3 linked regions of the Schizosaccharomyces pombe genome follow. The gene in region 2 interacts genetically with the main gene of each other region. Each region holds a gene or a part of one and is shown on either strand. Other genes may lie near its edges.

Region 1 (9,563 bases), on a different chromosome or scaffold from region 2:
TGTATGGTTTAGATGGTATGTACTGTAAAAGGTGATTTTTAATTGCTACCATTTTGACTGATATCTTCATTGTCATCCAAAAGTCTGAATTTTTTGTCTTGGTAATTAACTCTTTTCTCTTATTTAGGTTCTTATGCTTCTTCTCTGTATACCGCTGCAGTAAAAGAATCCAAGTTGGACAATGTTGAGAAGGCCTTAAATAAACTGTCTGGTGTTCTTCAACAGAGACCGGAATTTGAACAATACATTTCTAGTCCTTGGTTGACTCGTGAGGATAAGAAAATATTGGTTAGTTCTTTGACGCAGATGACTGGAAATGAACCCCTTTTGAAGAATTTCTACAATGTTTTGTTAGACAATCATCGTCTTTATCTCTTAACTCGTATTCAGAAACAATTCTCTACTTTGATGCGCGCTAAAAGAGGAGAAATTGAAGTTAAAATTACTTCAGCTACTCCTCTAGATTCGAAGATCCTTTCTCGTCTCGAATCTCGGATAGCTAAATCGAAATATGGCAAGGGTAAATTACTGGTTAGCAATAAAGTTACTCCTTCTATCATCGGTGGACTAATTGTTGAAATTGGTGATAATATTCTTGATGTCAGTGTTGGTTCTCGTCTCAACAATTTGAACAAGCTCTTAAGTGGTAGGTTTTTTTATTATTTTTTAATATTTTTTCATGATTCAATTTTAATTTTTTTTACATGCTAACCATTTATAGAACCTATTTAAGGCTGTTTTAATGCAACAGCGTATCCTTCGCCAAAACCCAATCTTTATTCTCTTCTCATTCTAAACAGGCTTGAATTTCCTCTTATTCGTATTTCTCTTTCTTTGATAGGTTTTAATGAGCCATAGTACGTATTACATAGTCAATTGAAACTATGGTCATCATGTTTGCCTTACCTCCTCAATATTTCAGTTTCATTTATGTATGCTGTTATCAACTTTATGAATGCTATTTTTTCATCATCGAATAGTAGATCTTTGAAAACTTAGTTCCTGGTTATGGAAAAGGTGTGATTAAAGCCACAAATGTACTAACACTAATTTTCTTATCGTATCTCAAAGCTTGGAGTGATCCAGTACTTAAAACTTTAAACCATTCCATACTTAACCCGTTCAGTTTAGAGAAGTTGTACTTGATGGTATTGATTTTCAATCTCATCTGCATAACATAGATTGAGATTTATGAATAAACGTGTTGAATTGAAACCTGGGATATTCTATAAAAAGTTAACATCAGTTACTGTTGTTTATTAGTCAAGAGCTTCAAACCTTTTCGGTTCAATGACACATTCCGACAAGCAATTTTTAGACAAGAACGTCGCCAAGCCTAAGTGAATCCCATTGTCCGACGCCTATTAATTAAAACGATTCAGCTTGCGAATTGACGTCAGGTCTTGAATTCTTCCAATTTCTCCTTTTTGTAAGCGGTATATATCGTAATTAACTGCTGCTTTCAAATTACTAGGCTTCTTTTTGCAGCTAATGTTTTAAGAAATTCTCTAGAATAATTGGAGGTCATGAGTATAATATTATTACTACTTTTTGTTTTTGAGTCTATTTTATTAAAATCATTTTTGTAAGAAAACGGATACGAAATACCACGGCGTAAGGACGCGTTAAACGAGGTGATGAGATACGTGTATTGTGTGTGTAGCAAACAAATGGTAACAATTCCCATTTGGCAAGATGGATCCGATTTTGCAAGAATTAGTAGATGAGTGGTTCAAATTAGATCAAGTAAGTATTAGGACTATATTTACTATGGAAGTACTGTGGAACTAACAGATTGAACGCATTAGGATGAAACTACGAGGAATGAAGTTTCACAATTGATTAAGGCTGAAGATTATGCCACCCTCAAGCAAATTATGCATCCAAGGATTGGATTTGGTACATCTGGTATGTTTTTATTACAAAAGAAGAAAAAATTGAGATTGTTAAGAGATATTTCGCAAGTTGAAGTGGATTGAAAGAGAACGCTAAATAATGCCTCTTTCTTAATAAAGAATTCTCAGTGCTACAGCCGGTAGCTTAAACTACTTTATTGTGTTTTCCTTGATTAGAGTCGAAGTGATATACTTGATCATCGGTCACTTTCCTTACTGCGTATACTAATTTATTGTGATGATCATATTGGTCATATTTCAGAAAGAGTTTTTCGTTCTTCTTCTTCTTTTCTATCTGTTTTGGTCTTTTTTGCTTGGAATGTTATATAACGTGCTTGTACGAAATTGGTTTAAGTGTAATTAGATTTTCAGCTTGCGATTGTTCTCTCTATACATCTTAATGTTTTAACATTATCAAGTTCGTTTATTCATTTACTAATGTTTACAAAGGTTTGAGAGCTGAAATTGGTGCTGGCTTCGCTCGCATGAACTGTTTGACCGTGATTCAAGCCTCACAAGGCTTCGCTGAGTATTTGCTTCAAACCGTACCATCAGCTGCAAAGCTGGGTGTGGTAATTGGACACGATCATAGGCATAAGTCTAATACTTTTGCTCGACTTACTGCTGCAGTGTTCTTGCAAAAAGGATTCAAAACGTATTTCTTCGATCATCTTGTCCATACCCCTTTAGTCCCTTTTGCCGTTAAAACCCTAGGGACTGCAGCTGGTGTTATGATTACTGCTTCCCATAATCCCGCAGCTTATAACGGATACAAGGTCTATTGGGGAAACGGTTGTGCTATCATTCCTCCCCATGACAAGGGAATTGCTGCATGTATAGAAAAAAACTTAACGCCCATTACTTGGGACAAAAATTTGGTTGAAAATCATAAACTAGCAGATCGGGATTTTGCAGTTGGTCTTTTAAAAAACTATTGGTCTCAGCTCCACGAATTCCATTCCGAAAACAACTTTTCCTTGGAAATGAAATCTTTGAAATTTGTTTACACTCCTATTCATGGCGTTGGATTACCATTTGTTACTTCAGCATTACACTTATTTGGCGAACAAGGCGATATGATTTCTGTACCTCTTCAAGATTCTCCAAACCCTGACTTTCCGACTGTGAAATTTCCAAATCCAGAAGAGGAGGGGGCATTGGATTTGGCTTACGAGCAAGCTGATGCTAATGGTATTTCGTATGTCCTTGCAACTGATCCTGACGCAGATCGTTTCGCCTTTGCAGAAAAAATTAATGGTGCTTGGAGAAGATTTACCGGAGATGAAGTTGGTTGTATCCTTGCCTATTTTATATTTCAAGAATACAAAAACGTTGGAAAGCCAATTGATGATTTTTACGTTTTGTCAACTACTGTCTCTAGTGCTATGGTAAAGTCCATGGCCAAAGTAGAAGGATTCCATCATGTTGAAACACTTACTGGATTTAAGTGGTTAGGCAATAAAGCATTAGAATTGGAAAAACAAGGGAAATTTATTGGATTGGCATATGAAGAAGCTCTTGGTTATATGGTAGGTAGTATAGTTAGAGACAAAGACGGGGTTAATGCTTTGATTACGTTCCTTCATCTTTTGAAACGCCTTCAACTTCAGAATCTTTCAATTACCGAGGTTTTTGAGCAAATGTCTAAAAAATATGGTTATTACACTACGCAAAACTCATATTTCCTTTCACGCGACACTCCCAAGCTTCGTGCTTTGGTTGATGCCTTGAGACATTATGACACAAAATCGGGTTATCCGGCAACCCTTGGTAGTAAGAAAATTACAAATGTTCGCGACCTTACTACAGGTTACGACTCAAGCTCCACGGATGGTAAAGCTACTTTACCAGTTTCAAAAAGTTCAGATAACGTAACGTTTGAGCTTGAAAATGGAGAGGTAATTATGACTATTCGCACAAGTGGTACAGAGCCGAAACTTAAGTTTTATATCTGTGCTCGCGGACATTCGCTTGAAGATTCCATAAAGAATGCTACAGAAGTTAAACAGGCTATCAAATCTGAATGGTTTCATCCCCAACAGAACGGACTGGAAGAGCCATGAGTTTTCTCGCGTGTATAATTTTAATTTGAGCTCGTTTTTTAAGCAAAATTATAAATTGCAAACAAAAATATTTCAATAAAGTATTAGATATGATTTCCTGAGTTGTTGTGATTTAAATTTTATCCTTAATTGAAAATTCCTTAAATATCTGATGGAACTACAAAAATATAGAACTTCAATGATCAAGTAATGTTTAGTGTACTATAAAACCATGGCAAGATTCATGTCTAAAGGATGACTACAACTTAATTGGGGCAGTTGTGAGTATTTGTTGGAAAGTACTTGTCGAATACCTCTCAGCAACTGCAAGTAGCTAAGTTGGGGATTTTGAGTGACGACTTCACGGAAGGCGTATGATAAAGCACCAGTAGCGAATCCATTAACACTTGTATCTGCGCTTGTTTGATTATCTTTGCATCCGGATAAAGAAATAACATCAGCAGGAGAAAACTTAACTTGTCTAGAGTACTGTAGAGCGTTGTTATTAAATCCATTGGTAGCACTGGTAAATATATTTTTCACGTTGTTGATAGCTCCCATAATGTCGCCAGAGGCATAAGAAAGGCCAGCATGAAGTACATCCATACCAGATTCTTTTAACATATTTGGCTCCTTTAGAACGCCCTTGGTAGAGTACGTGAAAGGAAGATCGAGAGCTCCACCTGAATGACAAGCTATATTTTGTTAAAAATAGATTAAAATCACTGACTTACAGTCAAAGAGAGCTGTTAAACGACATCCTGCTGGTAAAGGCTTAACCATTATTTCGTGCATTTCATCATCTATAATTTGCCCGGCATATTGATGGTCCAGTGGATATATCGTTTCATCATAACCATCAACTTCGTCTCCATCAAGGTCTTTTGTTTGCCCTCCGTGGCCCTATGCATGTGAGTATGAGATGTAAAGTGATGATTCTTACACTATAGTGAAAAAATAATGCATCCTAAATAGTTAGCATTAGGAAGTAAATCCCATGACATATAACTTACATTAGGTTGGGCATCACTTACTAACCATCTCATCGCATCTAACATATTTTGACGAGTGGGAATTGCCCTTTGGTTGCTTGCCGTGTCTGTCATAATAACTAAAAAAGTTTTAGCAAGATGTTCTCGTAATCAACCATACCCATATCTTCTTGCTTGTAACCGTAGCGCTGTATCAGCAGTTGGGACATAGACATGACATCTTAAACAAGTTAATATATGTTTACTTGACCTTTCGCATTCCGTACCATTAATGCAACCTTGCAACTCATTTTGGGTATTGAGATAGTTAATTCCGATCAGCAAAGCCTTTCGCTTCCCTTGGCAAGTTGAATACTGATACTGAAAGTTTCCTCCTCCTGCTAAGTTATAAGATTGAGTCTGAGTGTTTGGCAGCTGAGGCCCACTATAATTTGGGTTGCCATAAGAATTAGCACCAGTATTCGGAGGCGGACCTGAGGGTGGGGCATAAGCATGGGAGTTTGCAGAGCTCAAACTTATATGACCAACATTCTCCATAGGGATTTGATTAGAATTGCCGTCTGTCTGAGGCCTTGTGGAAGGGGGTGGCATACGTGGAGGCTGATATTGATGTACAGTGTTATTACTTTGAGAACCATTATTTGGTGAATAATTAGGTCTAGTATATGTATTATATGGTGGATATTGCCCACCGTTATAAGGATTGGAGTTGTAGCTCATGTTGATGGGAAGTTGGATAGTGCTTAACTATGCTACTTTCAATAAAATACCAGATCTCACAGGTTATAACTAAAGCAAAATCAATTTGACTACAGTATATACATTTAAAAAAAAAATTAATTGCAAAAGATGCGAGCAATATATTATAATCATACCACACATCAAAACGTATTATACACGAAAGAGCTGCTACACGAAGAAATAATTTAATACGATGAAAAATCAAGTAATGTATAAAGCAATAAGTGAAAACCTAGCCGGCATAGTCTAAAAAGAGTGAAACAAAATCCGAAGATTGTTGATGGATTAAATAAAAACCTAACCTAACCTAAACTAACTAAAGCATTTTGAGGAACCAAAGAAAATATTGAAAGACTTAGAGTGAAAGAAATGAAATTTAAAAATGTGCAGACAAAGCTCTCTGATTATCGACACTCAAAGTGGCAATGACAGAATTAACTTGATCAGCAGGGAAACGAGCTAAGTAAACCTTCGAAGCTTCCATCAAACGTGTCAAAGTTCTTCCACGTAAAACTCCAGATGCAAATGTTTCTGCTAAAATCGTAATAATCGTTGGCATTTGTGAGGCAACGGCCACGTGATTTTGTTCCATCAATTCCGCAAGGAAAGTGTAAGCATAAGGAGCGTCATCTTCATCATGTGTTACAGGAAGTGTATTAATCCAATACGTTACAACTTTGTCAAGATCCTGAACACGTTGGCTACAAAAGCGGCAAATTTTGCATATCGCAACACAAATATTTTCTGTGGCATAAATTTGTTCTTCATCACGGGCATCAGGAAGCTCGAGCATCTTAAACAATGCGGGCAAAGCACTAGAGCAGATTTCAGCATACAACTCTCCTCCATGCTGAGCGGCTACTCCAATACCGTACGAGGCAGCTTGTCGAATTTCTGGTTCGCTACTTTGAATACCTTCAGCTAAGTAAGGCAAAAAGTGATCCTTGTAGTTCCAAGAATCGGGTCCAGTAAATTCAATTAAGTCATCCATCATGCATAGAGCCCATTGCTTAGCTACAGTGTCGTTTCCAGACAAAAAGCCATCCATGTACGGTAGTAGCCTTTCCCAAAAAGGGCAGAAAGCAGTTTTGTGAATTTTTAATACAACACTAAAAGTCTTGTTTATTTCGTTTAACAAGTTTTGATCATTTTCGACTGCAAGAATCATGTCCTCATCTTCTTCAATATCTATGTCACCATTTTTAGCCTCCTCCTCACGCTGCTGCACGCGAGAAATGAATCCTTTGAGCTGCAAATCAACGGCAGCAACGAGTGCTTCCATCGAAGAAGGACTCAGATTCAAGCCGCTGATTTCCAAACTTTGATAGAAACATTCAAAATAGTCGGCAAGCATTTCCACGCTTGGTTCATTTTGTATATGATCCAACAGCTTTCGTAAAATAGGCTCCCAAAGCTCATTGACTTTAGCTGGATCACGATTGCTAGCTAAAATCCGAGCGTTCAATAACTGAGGAATACACTTACAACAAGCAGAACGAACCCCGTCGTGAAAGAAGAACTTCAATCCTGGAAGTACAACAGATGTCAAAACTTCATTGACGTAAGGATCAAAGTCAGCTTTTAACTCAGCAGCATAGCAGACAAGCATTTCGGTGGCAGTACACTTGTCTTCTAACGTACTAGTCCTAATACCAACCTGTTGACCATGAACGGGAATGAACTCCCAACCATCTTGTTCAGAATATTTGCTTTCATCAACCTCGTCGTCTATAATTGTGAAGTCAGGTTTCGAGGTAGCAGCAACCAACAGAGGAGGCATAACTGAACTCAAAAATGGGACAAAATCGCTTCCTAAAACACGGCAAATTCTTCCCCAGGCAGAGATGAGATAACTAGCTTGAGGATCATCACTGTCAGTAATACCCATTTGAATGTTACCTAAAATTTGGATTAATTCCTGAGATACAGGAAGGAATCGTTGTTTACCAACAGCTAAGGCAATTAAAGTAGCACATTCCATAGTTTTACCGCGAAGGGTTCTAAACTCCTTGCCGTCAGCTTGTTGCAGAACATTAAACAATAACGGCATGATGGCATCAAAATATTTTTCAAATTTTTTAGCTGCAGCGTCAGCAACTGTAGCTATAGTGGTAACGGCTTGTTCCTGCACATATCGCTTAGGGCTTTGTAACAAGGTAAGAAGGCGTTGAAGGATATCATCCAAGTAAGGTTCGAGAACCTTGTTGTCGGCCTCTTCAGAGAAATTAACCATTGCAGCAGCAGCATGAGCTTGAACACGGGATTCTGGAGACTCCAAAACAGGTACCAATGCCTCGAGGATGCGAGAAGGATACTTGACTTGCATGTCAGGAGCAAAATCTGTAGACATTTGGCCTACAGCATTGCATGCAGCCCATCGAACACGGGGGTGAGGGTCAGCTAACAAAGGAAGTACCATATCTAATACACGACTAAGCTCTTTTTTCATTAATTTTTCAGCACCTTCGGCAATTGATGAGATGGCCATAAGGGCAGCATGACGTTCAGACCATTTTTGAGACGGGATCAATCTAGGAAGCCACGTGAAAGAGGGAGGAAGAATTGTTTTTCCGCCCAACTTTCTAGAAAGTCTATCCATGGCTTGTTCCGCGACAACATGGTTAGCATCACTTTCATCCTGATCCAAATCGTCCGTGTTCAACCATTCTTGAAGTTCTTCTGCCTCATCCTCAGGATCGCCAGCGACATCGGTCATTAGCAAGAGACATTGAAGTACAAGTTGATCAGTGTAGTCGGAAGATTTCCTACACATAGCAGGGGCACCCTCCGAAAAACAAACAAGCAATTCAAGAGCAGCTTGGCGAGCGGAATTATCCAGCTCCTTGTCCTTAATGATACCAAGACCAAATGCGATGACGCTCTCAAAAATAGGTTTGAATAACTTTGGGAAAACTTCGGCGATTTCAGTGATGGCCATAAGACAGTCCGCCAAATTATCAGAATCACGATCTTGTTGCAGAGGGGGAAGGATGTTCATGAGGCTAGGTAAAAGAGGAATAACCTGATCTCGAGTGGATTGTTTGCTCTCAAGAATAACGGCAGAATAGGCACGAGCGGCAGATATTCTTACACGGATACTAGGATCAGCTAAACCGGTGGTAAAGAGAGGAGTAACAGCACTATCTTGACCTGACAATAAACGAGGTAAAGAAGTGATGGTACGGAAAACTGATTCACGAAAAGACTCATCAGGAGAGTTAACAGCATTGAAGATAACGTTAATGAGTTCTGGCCATTCGCCTTGACAATCATAGATAGATCGAGCAATCTCGGCGATTGTGTCACAAAGCTTATTACGAACAGTGGGAACTGACTCCTTAACAAAGCAAGCTAGAAGTTGACTTTGCAAAGACTGTTTGGACTCATTTGAAATGCTAGAGAACACTTCCAACTCACTGTCTCCTGGTAAGGTGCGAAAGGAAATACGACGGCAAAGAACTAAACAAAAGGAGCGCACAGCTGGGTCCTCACTTTGATAAGCTAAAATCGCAAGGCCGTTTAATAATAAGTCAGCTCTTTGACTTATCCAGTCTGAGCTAAGAGACTTTTCAGCATCATTTCGGACAGTATTGTCAGGCGACGAAAGGCCTTGAACTAAATTTAAAAGAGGAGACAATACTTCAGGAGGAAATCCACTAGACATGATATTAAAAAAAAATGAGCAATCAGAGACGTGGATTTTGCAGTTTTAGAGGAAAAAGGTAAATAAACTTAAATACAACTTTCTCGTTCGGTCAGAGGCTGAGGTACCAAGAATGTTTTGGGCTGTAAAAAATGGTAATAAAGGCCGAACTTCTAGTATTAACGAGTGAAGCAAGTTTTATCTTTTATAATACCTAAATTAAGCCAGCGATACTATACAAAGTAGAAGT
Region 2 (6,795 bases):
GGTAAACCTGAGGTGTCTTAAAGAGAGTAGTAGCGCAAAGCATTGTTGAATCTGAAAACTTAACATAGGATACTGCACTAGAAAAAAGGGTAGCCATTATTTTTGAGTAACCATCAATGTAAGGATCGTCCTCTAAACTTGAAATGATCCTATGGATTAAAGTGAATGGATCATATTTTAAGGCCGCAATAATTAATGCTTGAAAAGAATTTTGGGGATTTTGAAGAATCTTTGAAGAAACAACGCTCGAATTTTGTATTAAAGGTATGTTATCTGGGCTGTTGCTCAGAAGATGAAGAGCTATGCCCCATGTCAATGATACAGCGGCACCAATTGAATCGTTCGATAGTTGAGTAATCATATCGTGTAGTGAAATTATGGTATTGCCAGAGAGCATAAAGAACGAAGGATTGTCTTTAAAAGAAAGCACCTGTTTCTCTAATGAAATAAAGTTGATGGAAATAATTATGGCAACATTTGTTATCTCTTTGCACATAGAAAACCCTGTGTCAATATCCAAATGCATAAACTCCTGATCATGCAAATACCTAGTTTTTTTCATACAATTGAACCAGGATATAGCCATTTCTGAATTGCAAACCACTAGAGAATAAGTCGACAAAAAGATGACCCGCAAAAGTTGAAGCTGTAAGTTAAAATGAAAAAAATACCATTGAGAGATAGCTTCTTCGCCATTAAATGTTAAGGAAGCGGGCGCCGCTTGACTAGTCATCTTGCTTAAATAGTCGATGATACGGACGCAGAAAATAGAAGGAGTAGTGCTTTGTGCATTTTCTCCAGATCGCTGAGCTGTTTGAAAAATCGATACGATCAATCGGGTAGCCATTTTATGCCACTTGCTGTCTGCATCGGTACAAGCTTGTAAGAGGAAAGCTAAAACTTTCCAGCAAGATATAATTTCAGCATAGTATCTTCTTTGAAATTCTTGGGCAAGAACAGAATCATTGTCTAATTGTGAGAAGTATTGGGTATTTAATTCATATTGATGCACCAGAAGTACATAAGCGACTTGTGCCTCATTATAACCCGTAATGTCTGATATCTTTTTTACACTTTCTAATTGTGATTTCGAGATGGAATGACTACTATCATAAATAGAGAGCTTCGCTTCTTCGCCTTCTGTGGTTTTATTTGAGTTGAGAGTTCCTGTTACGGGACTCTCGATTTGCTGAAAGGCAGCTATACGAGCATCCAGTAGCTCTTCAAACTTATTTTGTGATAAATTCTCATCAGACGTTTCAAAAGCATCTAAGATCCAAGACCAAGAGCTGCACAAAAAGTGTTAATTAAAAACTACACAAAAAGTGATACAACAAAGACACTATAAACAAAGACTTACAGTAAATAATCACCCATGGAAGACTTTTTGGTTAGCTAGAAGCACCAACTAACGGTTGATTTCAAGGATTTATTAGTAAAGATGCCGAAACAACCCTGTGAACCTATACAGATTGGTTCTCCTACGGTACAGTTCGTGCATGCGCACTTTGCAGAGCTTGAATTTGCAATAACGTAGCATAGTGTAAGACAAATAAAAATGCTATTAGAACAAGCACTTAGATCGGCTCGTTCAGATGAATAGCACACTCCTGAGAGTATAAGACAATGCTCGTTATAACAAAGAGTTACGAATCATAAAAAGAACAACACACCATGGGTTATCGTAATCTCAAACTGTTGTCAAGTAAATAAATATTATTTCATGTTTCTGTTCATTTTTTCCACATGCATATTACTGTAGAGGAAACAATTTGAACAGTAGGTTTCTTTTCTTATTCGCCGTCTTGACGGTTTGGATTCATTTGATGCTCGTCGTAATTATAAATGAACAGTAAATAAAGATAGTAGACGTAGATAAAAAGTCGATTCCGAATTATAGACAAGTCGACTTACAACGAATGGAAAAATTATAAATTCACTGTGGCTGAAATTGATGTATGTAACTTTTGCCAACGGAAAATTCACTTACAGCTTAATTTAAGCTTAAGCTGGCTCAGGACAAAAGAAGGAAAGGATGTGGGCGTTCACCATTGGAAGATGATAAACCTCAAATTAATAAACTTAAGACTATATCTGTAATCTGAGTCACGGACTCAAGAACACCTGGCTCCTTCAGTGAAATTACCGCCGCTTTTGCTTCATATCTGATTTGTTCAAAAATTACTGTTAGTACTACTAGCGATCGCTCCGAGTCTCGTTGTTACTACCGTAATAGCAGCACAACACGCACGTACGGAAAGTCGGAATGTAAATCGATCAACAGAGAAGTTCCGCCTTGCCAACATGAACTAAGAAAATAACAATTGATCGGTGTTGCAACTTGATACATTAAGCGATACTCAATTAATTAGATGAGCGATTTATTTTCACCATGTTTGTCTCGAATGTATTGGATATTTTAATGGGAGTAAAAATCATTTCGGTTGATTTAATCCAATATTGAAGGTTTGACTAGGATTTTCACAGATAATGATTGATAGTGATTTCAAAAGATGTAATGAATACGAAGATGGTTTAAACCTTCCCGAGCATTCTTCGAGCCTGTAAATGGAAACACAATAACAGCTGAGCAAAAATGTCTTGGAATATGAATCAATTTTAAACAAAAAATGGCTAAAGGAAAAATTAGAGAAATTTCATTGACTGTGAATTCTATGAAGTTATAAGATGCACTTTGCCGTGGTGAGTTATATACGGGTTTTCATGATTGCATGTCATATTTTCATAATGCTTCTTACCGTCTTAAAATTTGGTGTAGCATTCAGTCGATATTACGTTACCTGGGGCAAGTCCTTACATGGGGTCATGCCTTCGGTTTTTTAAGCAAGGTGCAATCTTACATGAAAACAACACCAATTTTACTGAACGTAGTAGCAGTGTGTTTTTTGAGTGTAATCCTTGTTATAGTATTGAAAAATTAAAATCGAATAGGATTTTAATTGCAGTTCGTTTATTCTCATTCGCTTTTTCGTCATTTTCGACCACGTTAAGAATTTTGCGAGATTTTATCATCGCGGCTTCAAAGTGCGAATTTGAAAAGATTTGGAGTACTACATTTTCAATATCTTTTCTATCCTTTAATTTTAAATCCTCTGAGTCTCCTAGTCTTTAAGCCCGCTGGGCGACACAATAGGCTTCTCTTTTCTACCTACGAGTCTCACAAAATTCAAGGTCGGATATCTACAGTTTTCCTATGCTGCATCTTTGCTTGAAAGTTTAGTTTATAAAAACTAAAGAGGGGGAAAACTAGTGCTGGAACGTTATTCAAAAGTACTTAACTAGTATTTCTCTCTTCCATAAGTCATTTGAGTTTTATCAAAAAGTGCTTTGCAAACTGAATTTGAAGAACTTTTTTGCTTCAGCCAAATCCTTCACAAGAGTATTTTCGTACTTTTTTTCGCTGAAACCGACGATTGTTTTCGTTGGGCTATAAGATAATCACCTTGTTTCCTGGTTTCCTCCCTCTCTCAACCATTTTCCCCTCTTTACAAATTTCGCAATCATAGATTTTTCATCGTTTTTTTTTTCAGTTCACTCTCTGTGTCACTTTGATTGTATGCATACTTTTCACCTTCACATTCGATGGGTTCTCAACAGTCTAAGTATGTTTATTTTTTTGTCCAATTTCTCAACCTGCCGTAGGTTTGGGGAAGAACCAATACATTATTAACCAAATTACAGGTTAGACTTTAGGAACGCGGTTTTACGACTACACGAAGAAAGGGTAGGTAATATTTTTCTTTTGGTTGGTTTCATAATTCAGTGAATGCCAGAGAATACGAAGTTCAATTCTTAGGATTCTCTGCTAATGAATGTGAATTCAATTTGAATATAATCATAAATAATTGAAAATTTCAAGTGTACTAACCAATTCAGAACATTCCAAAATTTGACCTTATATGGGAGCGTGTAAGTGTGATCTTTATTCGTGAATATTTTTGCTAACTAATAATCTTTAGCTTTGGACGCTTCCAGAAACAACCGAAGACGTGTTTCATTTGATGTCTATCGATGATTTGACAAAAGTTAAAGACAACGCTCCAGAAAATTTGCAAACTATTATTGCTGTACTCTGGGACAAATTAGAAGATCTACAAAAAGAAACATTGTTTGATGACCCCGCCGCTCCCACTACAAAATGCGCGTTAAATTGTATGCGACTTTTGACAAGGCTTATGCCAATTATATTTGAGGATAAGTCAATGTTAGAATGGTTTGACTATTTTGCGTGGACAGTTCCAAAGGATCCGAACATCAATACACCCCGAGGAGCAAGCTTTTTAAACACCGTTGTAGATTATCTGTTCCTAATCAATTTTACCATCCCTGCTCATAATGATCTTACCCATGGAGTTCACTACTGTATTTGGGAAACTGGGGTAGTTTATCATCCCACAATGTTGAAAGAGCGCTCGTACGAACTTCACCGTGTCGAAGTCCTCCGACTCTTACTTTCATTATTTTCCGAGGAAATATATCGAACAGATGGCAATGGAAGCAGTTGTTGTGCTTATGTTGCTTCAATAGCTAACAGGCGCTTAGTCCTTTGTCTTCTTTCTTCTCTCATCAATACAGCAATGCGTTTCAATACGATGTTTTGGAAGCCTGAGTTTCTTCCCCTTGACAACTCGGTAGCTCACATGTCTTTGATAGAGTATTGTTTTTCTGTCCTACTCATACTAATGTCGGAAGAAAACAACAACGGCACTCCTTGTTATAATAATTACCGTTCTTCAAAAAACACATTACCAAAAAACTATTTTAGCATTCTGCTTTCAAAACTTCAACCTTATTCAGATTTCCAAATCATCCTTGATGGAATGAGCAGACTGTTATATCCCCCTATGCAATCTACCATTCCAAAAAGAAGCTCATTGATTATGTTTGACTACTACCCTCTTGTATTAATTTTTTGCAAACTTTTTATTCATTATAACGAGAGGTTTTTTCATTATCTTATTGATACCGATCGAGCAATCGATTTGTTTATATTTTTGTTATATTTAAGTTTTGAATATCTCGGAGATCCTTCGACTTATAACCACTTAAAGCTTTGTGTAATTCTGTTAAAGCGCTTGACCGCTGAAAAATATTTTTGTAAGCGCTTAAACAAGCCATTTCAACAGCAGACCGCCTTACCAATTAGCATGCCAGTTCCTTTCGAAGGTGGTACTTACGCAGATTTTACCATTATTGCAATTTCATTACTAGTGCAATATACTAAAGATTATCATTCCGAGATTGCTCAAATGCTTTGCTGCTCGCTTTGCTACCTTTGTTTATACGCGCAAAATTTAAACTCACATTCCAGCCAGAGTTTGTTTGAATTGTTTCAATCTGCTTCCTATCCAGGCTTTTTAATTTCTAACGACGTCAATCACAAAATTTTAAAGTATGTTATAGGAGCTATCAACAATGCAATTCAATATGCCCAAAAATACAATGCACCACTCTTATACTTCTTTTCAATGCACAAAGATTACATTGAAGCGGTCAGCGCTTTATCGTTTGATGCCATTATGAGTGTTAGAAACTCATCCGCGGAAGGAGATTCTGCATACTGGACTCGCAATGGTAAAACATTTTCTTCAAAAGCGTTTGACTCCATATTGTTAAGCCGACTTCGATATGTTAGGTCAAAAAGTCCAACGCCATATTATCCTATAGAAAGTAGTGAATTTGGTTTCACTAACCTCAAAGACGTTACTAGCAAAGATGAAATTACTGATGGATTCGATAAAGCACTTCGCTCCAATTCTTTACGTACTCACAGGGATAGTAGGCCTGTCCAACCATTGTTGAAGCAACGTCCTCAATTACATAGAGCTCTTACAGAAAGTGCCACACTCCATGGCAATGACCGTTCGTTAGAAGATACCGACGAAGCGAAGGTAGAGCCAATTGCTCATTCAGTAGATTACACTTTTAAGCCGACTGTAGAATGGTGGAATAAATGGTGGCCTTCGCTGAACTTCCGAACTATGCTCGATATTTTCACTGACCTATCTCTCAAAATCAGTGATATGAAGAAAGCCGGTCATCCAGCTTCAGAAATCATGGCTATGATAAAAACTCAAAAATACCCAGCAACTAATCAACCATACATTCCGAAATATAGAACAAAGGAATGGAGACAACAATTGGCAAATTTTGCTCGTCTATTCGCCTGGCAAGTCTCATGCGATTTAGACAGTCATAAAAGAGAAGGGCCAGGCATCTTTGAAGGTACGGATGTCAAAATATTTGACTCATTTTAGACTTGAAATCTCCTTGAGGATTATGCTTGAGCGGCATATCTCCGTTTTAAGAATTGAAATGGAGAAATTTGAACTATCCTAAGTTTTGTATGTTCAAAGAGTCTGTTTGAATAGATACTTGGCTTTTTACATCTGTTTTATTTTTTTATTATTTCTTTTCACAAATTGGTTAAAAAAATGTTGTTTCGTTTTTCATTCAGAATTACCACTAGTATGTTACTACTTTTATCGTTATTTTACATTCTCAGTAACTGTTTAGCATTTACTAAAAGATTTTATGTATACACCAGGGATTTATTCTTTGTAGTTTAATAGATAATAAATGCAAATGCCAAACAAATAATGCTTCGCAATAAACATCGGAAAATCAACTCAAGTTGAAATATATTTTTTTTTCAATTGAGCACACTACTCACATAACCAAAGAAAAATCAAAACTATTGATTATTTAACCAAAACCATACTTATGTAGCTCCCTTCTAAAGGCGAAAATTTTTCGACGTTTTCTTATTTGCTC
Region 3 (9,374 bases), on a different chromosome or scaffold from region 2:
TCCGACAAAATAGTGGTAGTTGAGGGTGATAGTGCTTTTGGCTTTAGCGCCATGGAACTGGAAACCGCCATACGCAACCAGCTGGATCTTTTGGTAATTGTAATCAATAATAATGGTGTTTACCATGGATTAGATACTGATGCTTATGAAACTTTACGTGATAATCACCAATTACCGACTACTGCCTTAGGCACTAGTATACGTTATGATCAAATTTGCGAAGCATGTGGTGGTAAAGGTTTCTTTGTAAAGAATGAAGAAGATTTGAGAAGTTCCCTCAGGAAAGCATGGCAAACCTCATCTGTATCTCTCATAAATGTTATGGTGGACCCGGAGGCTGCTCGAAAATTGGTAAGTATTAATGGAATGAATTAGGTATAAGAACAAGCTAACAATCACTAGACATTTGCATGGATGAGCAGTACCAAAGTGAAACCAAAGTTATGACCATCATTTAATTAAAAATAGAAGAAGTGATGTTCTTTTACGATTCTTAAAAATCGGAATACAGTTATTGTTGCTATTCAAATAAAGTCGTTTATTAAAAAAAAGTATTAAATATAATCTAAAGGAAATTAAAAATATTAAAAAATATAAAGATAGTGATAAAACAGCAGAATTAAATAAGCTTAGAGTATGCTTGTTCTATGTCCTTCAGCAACCATTCCTTAGTAGAATTACGATTTCTTCTTAAAGGTAAAGCACCTTCATATGTACCATTATTAGGCTGAGCTGGTAAATCTAATATATGCGAAAGAATGCCATAAATTTCGGTGTTCTGGAACGGTGCAAGCTTCTTTCCCTTAAAATTCTTAAAAGAAGATCCTGAAGCGATAAAAAGTGCTCTCATCACTGGAGACAAATTGTCATAACCATGTACACCCAAAGGCTCATACTCCAACTCCGGTGAATGATCCAGCATCGAGACAAGAGACCATCCAACATCCGGGATCATCCAAACGGGAGCTATTCTTTCATTATTTGAGTAATGCCATCGAGAAGGTATATCTTTCTTTGAATAAACATTCCAATTCTCAGCAGAAGGTAATGACGAGCGAGAATAATTAACAAGACTTTCGTAAATGTACTCATCATCTAAATCAGATTCTCCTCTAAAACCTCCTAACGGCCAAGCATCTCTGTGTGCAACGGCAGACAAATTAAACATATTATCCAGCCAGATAAGACGATTATCGGATGTAGGCGCCATTCCATGATCACTTAAAAAAATAATGTTGACATGCTTATCGATATTTCTTTTCTTCAGTCCTTCAATTAGTTCACCAATTACGATATCAACTTCTTGAATTATGATATTCAGTTCAGGCGAATCCGGTCCAAATGCGTGCCCAACCATATCTACATGGGGAGCATAAGCAAGTAATAACTGAGGGCGGTCTTTATCAGGAAGATCCAGCCATTCGAGTATTCTATCTTTCTTTTCTCTTAGAGTCGTATCAAAATTGAAACCATCCGAATAAGTAGGTCTGTAACCATGATTCTCCACTTCATTTCCAGGCCACATATGTACCGCTGATCGAACGTTATTTCGCTCAGCGTTGACCCATATAGGCTCCCCTTTATCCCACCAAGTTGGGTCTTTGTTACATTCAGGCATACTGTTGACAAATTGCTTCCCAGTTACAGGATCAAAAAAGTTGTTACTAACGATTCCATGGCTCTCGGGATATAAACCGGTAACAATAGTATAGTGATTAGGGAAAGTTATACTAGGAAAAGAAGGAATCAAAAAGGGAACATGGACATTACGTTCAGCCAGGCTCAGAAGATTAGGTGTGAACCCACGATATAAGTAATCAGCACGGAATCCATCCAAGGAGATTACGATGACAGTGGACTGAAAAACATTGGTCCCATTGTTGAAGGAACCTCCAACGATAGGAAAAATAATTGCTTTGAAGCAAAATAATTTCACAATTGCCAATATCAGAATTCCTAAAATGCAAATAGCGGCAATTGCTAGTCCCGATCGTTTTGCCCATTGATTCAAATAAGCCTTTCGATCATTTTTCAAAGGCAAATACTCGTTGGACCCAATATTAGCCCAACTAAACATTTCGGCGAATGTTCAAAATCAATGATATAAAGGAGTATTGTTAGGTATATCATATAATCTGTCAAATAATACTTACTTGAATAACGATGCGAAAAATATTGTTAAAATCATTTAACGCTTTCAAAGATATGCGGTAAACACTTTGTTCTAACTTACTTCAATTCGTAAACTATTCAGTCCTCTTAAATGTTCTGTCGTATAGGAAATGTCATCCTTTGAAACGTTTAGTGAAATGAGATAGCTTTTTTTCATATATGAAATTCAACTATTAATAATATTTGGATTCAAGGAGGAAACATCAACTTATGTTAGAAGCATTATTTGGCTAAAGCCTCAGAATAAAAGATTTTGTAGAACAAGTTTATTTGTCTTTTTACTGTTTCTGTATGGAAATATTAATTAACCATTTTTCAACTTATCATGATTCGTTCTGGATAGCGAACATGTTATGTCTATGGTTTTACATGATGTTAAAATAAATGGTAGCGATACTTTTTGTTAGGTCGTTTCTGAATTCGAAATTTCTCTTTATTTCTTTGTTGATTTTTGGGGAAATCGACCTCATCATACATTCGCAAAAGCGTGGCTTTGTTGTTGTAATTAAGGGCCTTTAAGTCTATTCCCTTAAACGCTTTGGTTATTAGTGAAAAAAGATCTTTTCGTTTTTGGTCTGTTAAATTTGTGGTCTCCTCCTCGGACGCAGAGAAAGCAGCTGAGTTTGAGGTTTCAGTACCACTGTCAGCTGGTGTTGCTTTTGGAGGAGGATGAAAAGCAAAAATACCATTTAGAATTAAAGTTGCTGACGTCTGACAATTATTTTTATTAATATTATCCGAACCGCTTATGTTTTTTTCAAAGTACGTCAAATCTTCAACATTTTCTGTTTGTGGAACGAACGGACCTGGCCCACTATTTAAATTATCCCATTTAATGGTTCGAAAAAAAGGATGTTTTTTGATTTCCTGGTATCCATTGCTACCCAGCCGTTTGTTACAGTCTGGATCCATGAGTTTGGTGATTAAGTCTACCGCCTCCTTTGAGCAGCTTTCTTTCACTCTTTTAGTCCAACCAATATCATTTCTCTCTATGCGAGCCCATATTGCTTTTACAGTATTTGCTTCAAATGGTCGCGTGCCAGTCAACATTTCGAATATCACACAACCCATCGCCCATATATCGCCCATCTGAGTATCAACGCCCATTAAAATTTCTGGAGCCATATAATTTGGCGTCCCTGAAATATCTTTTTTGATGAATGTCCGGTTTTCCTTTTTCTCTAACTGATTCATTAACATGTGTATTGCTGTTTCATCCATGTTATTGATATCAAAGTCAAGTAAATGCTGGACCGAGTCATTGGCATAATCACTATTTTGCTGTGGACTCTCCGCTTTCTCAAGCTCATCAATATTCCCGCGGTAATTTCGAACATATCTTACAAATTCGAATTTTTTAGGTTGAAGCTGCTCATACAAATTTCCATGTTTCTGTTCAAATGACATCCTCTTAGTAAGCTTATAAACCTCTTTTTTTTCCTCTACGTTTTCACTCAGTCCGAAGTCTGTAAGCCGAATATGTCCTGTTTCGTCAACCAACATGTTGGCAGGCTTTATGTCGTGATGGATGATTCCATCCTGATGCAAAAGCTCGATAGCATTTAGTAATTCAGCTGCGTACTGGCAAACCCATTGCTCTGGTAACGGTCCTAATTTTTGAATAAGTGTTTCACAATCTCCTCCATTAAAATAATCCATTACAAGGCATAGGTAGTCCCCAGAATCAAATGCATAATATAATTTCACTGTGTTTGGTCCATATCTTTGGATATGCATGTTACGCTTTTCAAGCAATAGTCCTTTTATTTTTTTTAAGCTATCAAGACTGGATTTTGGAATCATTTTAAGAGCAAAATACTTTCCTGAAGATCTTTTTTTAGCAAGATAAACCCTACCGTATGCCCCTCTGTTTATTTCTTTTAAAAGTATGAACTCGTCTAATGAGTGAGGAGTATTATCCCCAAATCTCCTATCATTATGGCTTGGGAACTGCATACTTTCGGTAAGAAAATGAACGATCGAGGCATAGAATTTGTTAACAAATTTCTGCCGATTTTTTAGAGGTCTCACATCCAGATCTTCAATTGATCCCTTTACCGCTTTAAAATAATCTATCCTTGTTGTTTTAAAGGTTTTAGACACAATTAAGTCTTTTTCTGTTAAGCGTTCTCCAATCTCAAAGTATTTTTTATGTCTTTTTATGGTAGATATACGTTCTGTTCGTTTCTGGATGTCATCGTAAATTGAATTATTATTTTCAACGTTCCCAAGGGCTAACAGCCTGTTGAAAAACACTGGTCTCTGTTCGGAAAGGTATTGGTTTACGCAAATTAGATTGGACAATTGAGCATTTCCAAAGTACAGACTTCCTTCGATGTTTTCCATCTCAATTGATAGCATATTCAAGGAGTACGTTTGAAGAAAATTTTTAACTTCATTAAACGTTGCTTGATACATTAAAATGTGATTACAGAGTTTTATTTTAGACGATAAATTTTTCAAAAGAAGTGAATGAACATCGTAAAAATAATCCTGGATCTTTGAGGGAACAAGAAAATCATACTCCCAATTCACCAATGATTTTTCATAAATCTCTCGCTTCATGTCTTTCGCGGCAGAATTTGAAATTGTCAAAAACGTTCGATGTTCTAAATAAGCAAAATTTTTAATGGATTTGTCCAGTTCCTTAACCAAAAAGTTCAGAGAGCTTCTCCATGATCGAATGCGAAACCTCTGTTTTCTGTTTTTCTTCCCGTTGAATACTGTTATGACCGGCAAGGAAAGAAAGGTTTCTTCAACCATATGATTACTACCCGTAGGGAGTTTGTTAACTATGTCTTCTATTTCCAGCTTCTTACAATTTATCAATTGTTGTACGGCGAAAACGCGGCGTACGAGATCATTCCAAACAAGGCAAAAATCGCTATGTACCTCAAAGTACCACTCTGGTAAATTATCTTCACACAACGAACATAATTTTCCTGAAGGAGGAGGAACGTGTATATAATTGTATTTGATTATTCCGAGCAAATGATCATGAAGAATGAAGGCACCAATCCCTAACGTGTTAAACAGGATGAAATCCATTTCGTTGATCACGGACCGTTGTGGATATAAATATTTTCCTGCCCACAAAACCCTTGTATCTTTACCATACAATGAGTCTACTAGAATGCCTCGAAAAAGCATTCTAATATACGTCTTTCCCTCAAATGGAGCTTTGGCTTGTTGAATATAATAATTAGGACTGCGTATTGGATTACATCTGAGAAAAGCAAAGACATGTGCAACTGATATGCTTTTTCTGAAAAGATTATCGGTTGCTTTCTTCATTAAGTGTTCATCATCGCTTTGAAGATACTCATAGAAACTACATTGAAATAAATCTCCTTCGTAGCCGATTAATTCAAAAAATGCAGGATTGGCATATTCCACTATTCCATTTTTTGACATTTCAATTTTCAGCAGAACTTCGTGGGAAAGTATCCTCTTCAATTGCTCTGGATTAGTCATTGTTTATCATAATTGAACACTTTAAGCTTCTTGGTATAAAAGAAATTGTATTCAAAGTTGTGTAAAATCAATGCAAATGGTTCTTACGCGATAGTTTTTCGGCAAAGACTTTTAATAGTTTGTAAGACTCGTATAATTTAAATACCTTTTTTTACTTATGAAGCGGAATTGTTGTTGTATACAATGTTTTCGTTATTATAACATCATCAATTTATTACTTGGCTTTATTAAATTCGCCAACTAATATGCTAATTCATAATGAGATCACAATTTGAACGAGCGATTTTTAGCACTTTAATTAGCGACAGGTTCTTTAACAAATATTTGTCGGATGTGAACTGTAGGTGGCATCAATTGGTATTAAGCAGAAAACAACCAAAACCATTGTTACAGCGAATATTGACTAGCGAAAATTAATTAGTTTTTTAATACATTTTATTGTGAGCGACAGAAGTATTTGGTGATTTAATTCATTTGGCGTTGTAATTTAGACAACAGGTGAATAAATAGATGTAGAGTTAATACTTCAATCCAACCCTTGGTTTAACTTTCTAATCACACTAATTTGAAAAGAACTTAGAAATAATATGGATTTTTTTCTCTGTATCATAAAGCTATGGTTTTAACATATGCAGCATGGTTTACAAAAGTATAATAAAATGTTGAAATCTAAATTCCTTAGTGGCAATAGATTAGTCTGAAAAAATAAAGAGAAAGTCTTTATTATAAATTGATATGGGTTAATGTGGTGTATTACAGAAGCGATTAATCTAACGTGCTACGCTCAGCATCTACATGAACTGAGCGCACTCATCTAAATATTTTTGTAATTGGTAATAAGCAGCAATACATGCCTGAGTTTATACGCAAGTTTTGTAACAATCATTGGTGCGATCAATTTTTGTTTTTTGGTTAGTTGCATCGTTACTTCTTCCGCTTTTTTGTTTTCATATTTTTGGTTTTTAAAACACATCGCAAATTCAATCAAGTTGCGAAATTTTTCATTCTTTGATATTAATTTTCTTACAACCTACTTAAAAAACTATTTCCTTTTGGTCGAGAGCCTTTATATTGGCTATAGTCTACTTTCTTCAAAAATGTCTGTTGAAGCAGGATGTTCAACGCTATCTAATCCTCTTAAGAAATTGACTTCCACAGCTGTTGTCAATAATTCAACACCTTCAGCTCAATATCGAAAACATTTAACCAAGTCTCAAAGTCGTACTTACGCTCCTTTGCAAACGCTGTCTGAGGATCAATTCACATCTTTCAAAAATCTCCAAGGAAACAATAGTCCTTTAGGTAATGTAGTTAAGAACCCAGTTAGCTTAAAAACTGGAAATCATACCGGCACAACTACTCGTGGAGGCTCGAAAGAAAATTGGGTACATTCTTTTTCTTCTCTTCAGCAGCAGAATAGTAAGTCGGCTTGGACATCAGAATTCTCTGAAGTATTTCTCAATTCATCTGAAAACGACCGTTTTCGAAACTTAAACCAACCTTTAAAACAATCTTTTTTTGGTTCCGCTGGACTAAATTTATCTTCAAATACTGAAATACCCTTACAAAGTTCTTTAGCTATTGACGAAACTGAGTTGGCTAAGAAATTTGAGGAAGCTTCTCAAATCTCCAATAAATTAGAGAAGGAAAAGGATGCTACTGGAAGTAAATCAATTGAGGAGCTATGGGAAGAGCATCAAAAGCAATTGAAAAACGCCGGGCTAGAGCCCGCAAGTTTAGAGGAATACCAGAAACAATGGGAAGATTTTTTAAAGTCAAACAATATTTCTGACGATCCTTACACTTCGTCTGTGAATAGCTTTGCTAATGATAATTTAGCTCATAATAAAAACATAGATCCTCAAATTTTCCAGCATAGCGATACTGATAACGTTGTTGAAAACTCTTTACAAACGGAAGATGTATATTCACAGAACCAAGATGAATCTTCAGAGGTTGTGAAAGAGCTAAACGGAATAGATCCATTTGTTGAAGCCATGAATTTAATAAAAAATGGAGGATCTATCTCGAAAGCAGCTGTGTTATTGGAACAATCTGTGAAAGAGAATCCACAGCACTTCGAGGCCTGGAAATGGTTAGGTCGCATTCATACTCTATTGGGAAACGAATCGCGGGTTGTTGAAGCCCTACTTGAAGCTGTCAAATTGGATTCAACCAATCTTGACTTAATGATGGATCTTGCTGTGTCTTATGTTAATCAGTCTCTAAATGTTCAGGCATTGGTTTGCTTAGAAGACTGGATAGTCAACAGTTTTCCCCAATACCGAAACAGGTTTGCAAAGATAAACGAAAGGTTTGAAGAGAAAGATTCTGCTAACGATCTCTTGAAAATGCAGATGTATTTCTTGGATGTAGCTTATGAGTTATCACTTGCTAAGAAGCGTTCCTCCAAGGTACAAGCTGGATTAGGAATAATTATGTATATGTTGAAGGAGTATGAGCGTTCTGCAGATTGTTTTCGGCAAGCTCTTCAAGACGAACCAAGTAACGAAATATTGTGGAATAAGCTTGGTGCTGCTTTAACAAATGCAGAAAAAAATACTGAAGCTGTTTCTTCCTATAATCGGGCAGTATCTCTACAGCCCCAGTATGTTCGAGTTCGCTCAAACATGGCTGTTTCCAACATCAATTTAGGATACTTTGAAGATGCTGCAAAACATCTACTTGCTGCAATTGATATTATACAAAACAGTTCTACCTCAATGGAGAGCTGCGAATCAAATGAGGAACTTTGGGAAATGCTTCGCAAAGTATTTTTGATTGGATTCCAAAGTACTGATCTTGCCTCTCAGTCCTATCCTGGAGCAAACACTAGTTATATACGAGCCCAGTTAAGTGATCTCCAAGGTTGGCCCGGTGTTGAGCTCGAATAAATCTCTTAAAGCAAACGTGCTTAATTCATTTTTCATGTTATTATTTATTTGGTTGTTTTTTTTTTTAAATTTTTTGTCTGAGGCATATCTTTTAGAGGACGTGCAAAAGCTACTTTTTTTTTGTTGCACAAGAAATGAGATAACTTACGCTTCAATATCTGAAGCAGAGAACAAAAGTAAAAGAAATCTTACTCTATGCTACCAAAGTTACTATTGGTATGCAAGTTGTACCTTTCTTGACCGTTTATACAATGGAAATTAGATCTTCAGTGATTTGAAAACAGATGTTATTGTTTACTTTTGTGAGAGTGCTTCTAAGCTCTTTGTAAGCACAGTTTTTTAAGTAATCCAACATTGTATTTATTGACGATAATGAGACAATGTTTAGTATTAATTGTTCAATAGCATTCGCATAAAATTCGAAGTCTCACTTTTTTGTTTAATCATTTGCTTTTATAATCTCAGTTTATTTAGATATACTGATGCGTATAATAAAGTATTTGACAATTTTCTATATTTTGAATAATGAAACTTAGTGTACCAGCATAAAGTGCTGTATGGATATTTCTCTCTCGTAAGAACATTCTTCAACTAAGCAGGTTGAGTACCAATTTTGACCCAATTGAAATCATTAGTTTTTTAATAAATTAATCCCGATTGCTGGTATTTATAGAAGGGGAACAGTGTCAAAATATGAGTGAGGTCCATCAAGAAAGTGAAGTAGAGTACAGTCGTTGGAAAAGAGAACGCTCTCCTGGTAAGTTGTTAATGTTTAGTTTGATAGAAATACTCATCCTTTTTTTGCATAGAACGGAGTCAAAGACGTTCACAGAG

The links.
Region 1: mutations in SPOM_SPAP27G11.11C (region 2) and pca1 together harm fitness more than expected from each alone (negative genetic interaction), as found in Schizosaccharomyces pombe (one large-scale study listed by BioGRID).
Region 3: mutations in SPOM_SPAP27G11.11C (region 2) and ppk31 together harm fitness more than expected from each alone (negative genetic interaction), as found in Schizosaccharomyces pombe (one large-scale study listed by BioGRID).

Annotation. Positions count from the first base shown.
Region 1 is NC_003421.2:2,260,053-2,269,615, reverse strand, and holds pca1 (metacaspase Pca1), read right to left. Parts: upstream 5,650-9,563; coding exon 5,196-5,649; exon of another isoform or gene 5,150-5,195; coding exon 5,090-5,149; exon of another isoform or gene 5,049-5,089; coding exon 4,951-5,048; exon of another isoform or gene 4,924-4,950; intron 4,905-4,923; coding exon 4,881-4,904; intron 4,841-4,880; coding exon 4,672-4,840; intron 4,633-4,671; coding exon 4,160-4,632; 3' UTR 3,959-4,159; coding exon of another isoform or gene 2,346-3,958; 3' UTR 2,311-2,345; downstream 1-2,310. Other genes in the region: F0-ATPase delta subunit atp5, read left to right, coding at 1-15, 128-646, 722-732; pgm2 (phosphoglucomutase), read left to right, coding at 1,696-1,746, 1,809-1,908, 2,346-3,958; karyopherin/importin beta family nuclear import signal receptor Sal3, read right to left, coding at 6,047-9,334. UniProt on the Schizosaccharomyces pombe protein: Involved in cell death (apoptosis).
Region 2 is NC_003424.3:1,628,465-1,635,259, forward strand, and holds SPOM_SPAP27G11.11C (uncharacterized protein), read right to left. Parts: upstream 2,740-6,795; coding exon 2,717-2,739; exon of another isoform or gene 2,665-2,716; intron 2,635-2,664; coding exon 2,436-2,634; downstream 1-2,435. Other genes in the region: SPOM_SPAP27G11.16 (uncharacterized protein), read left to right, coding at 2,819-3,133; SPOM_SPAP27G11.12 (uncharacterized protein), read left to right, coding at 3,604-3,623, 3,703-3,745, 3,898-3,930, 3,981-6,278; nop10 (snoRNP complex protein), read right to left, coding at 6,794-6,795.
Region 3 is NC_003423.3:1,210,276-1,219,649, forward strand, and holds ppk31 (serine/threonine protein kinase Ppk31), read right to left. Parts: upstream 5,647-9,374; coding exon 2,548-5,646; 3' UTR 2,415-2,547; downstream 1-2,414. Other genes in the region: 2-hydroxyacyl-CoA lyase Hac1, read left to right, coding at 1-351, 403-447; npp1 (nucleotide pyrophosphatase), read right to left, coding at 620-2,077; peroxisomal targeting signal receptor Pex5, read left to right, coding at 6,744-8,540; pir2 (C2H2-type zinc finger domain-containing protein), read left to right, coding at 9,234-9,297, 9,350-9,374. UniProt on the Schizosaccharomyces pombe protein: Has a role in meiosis.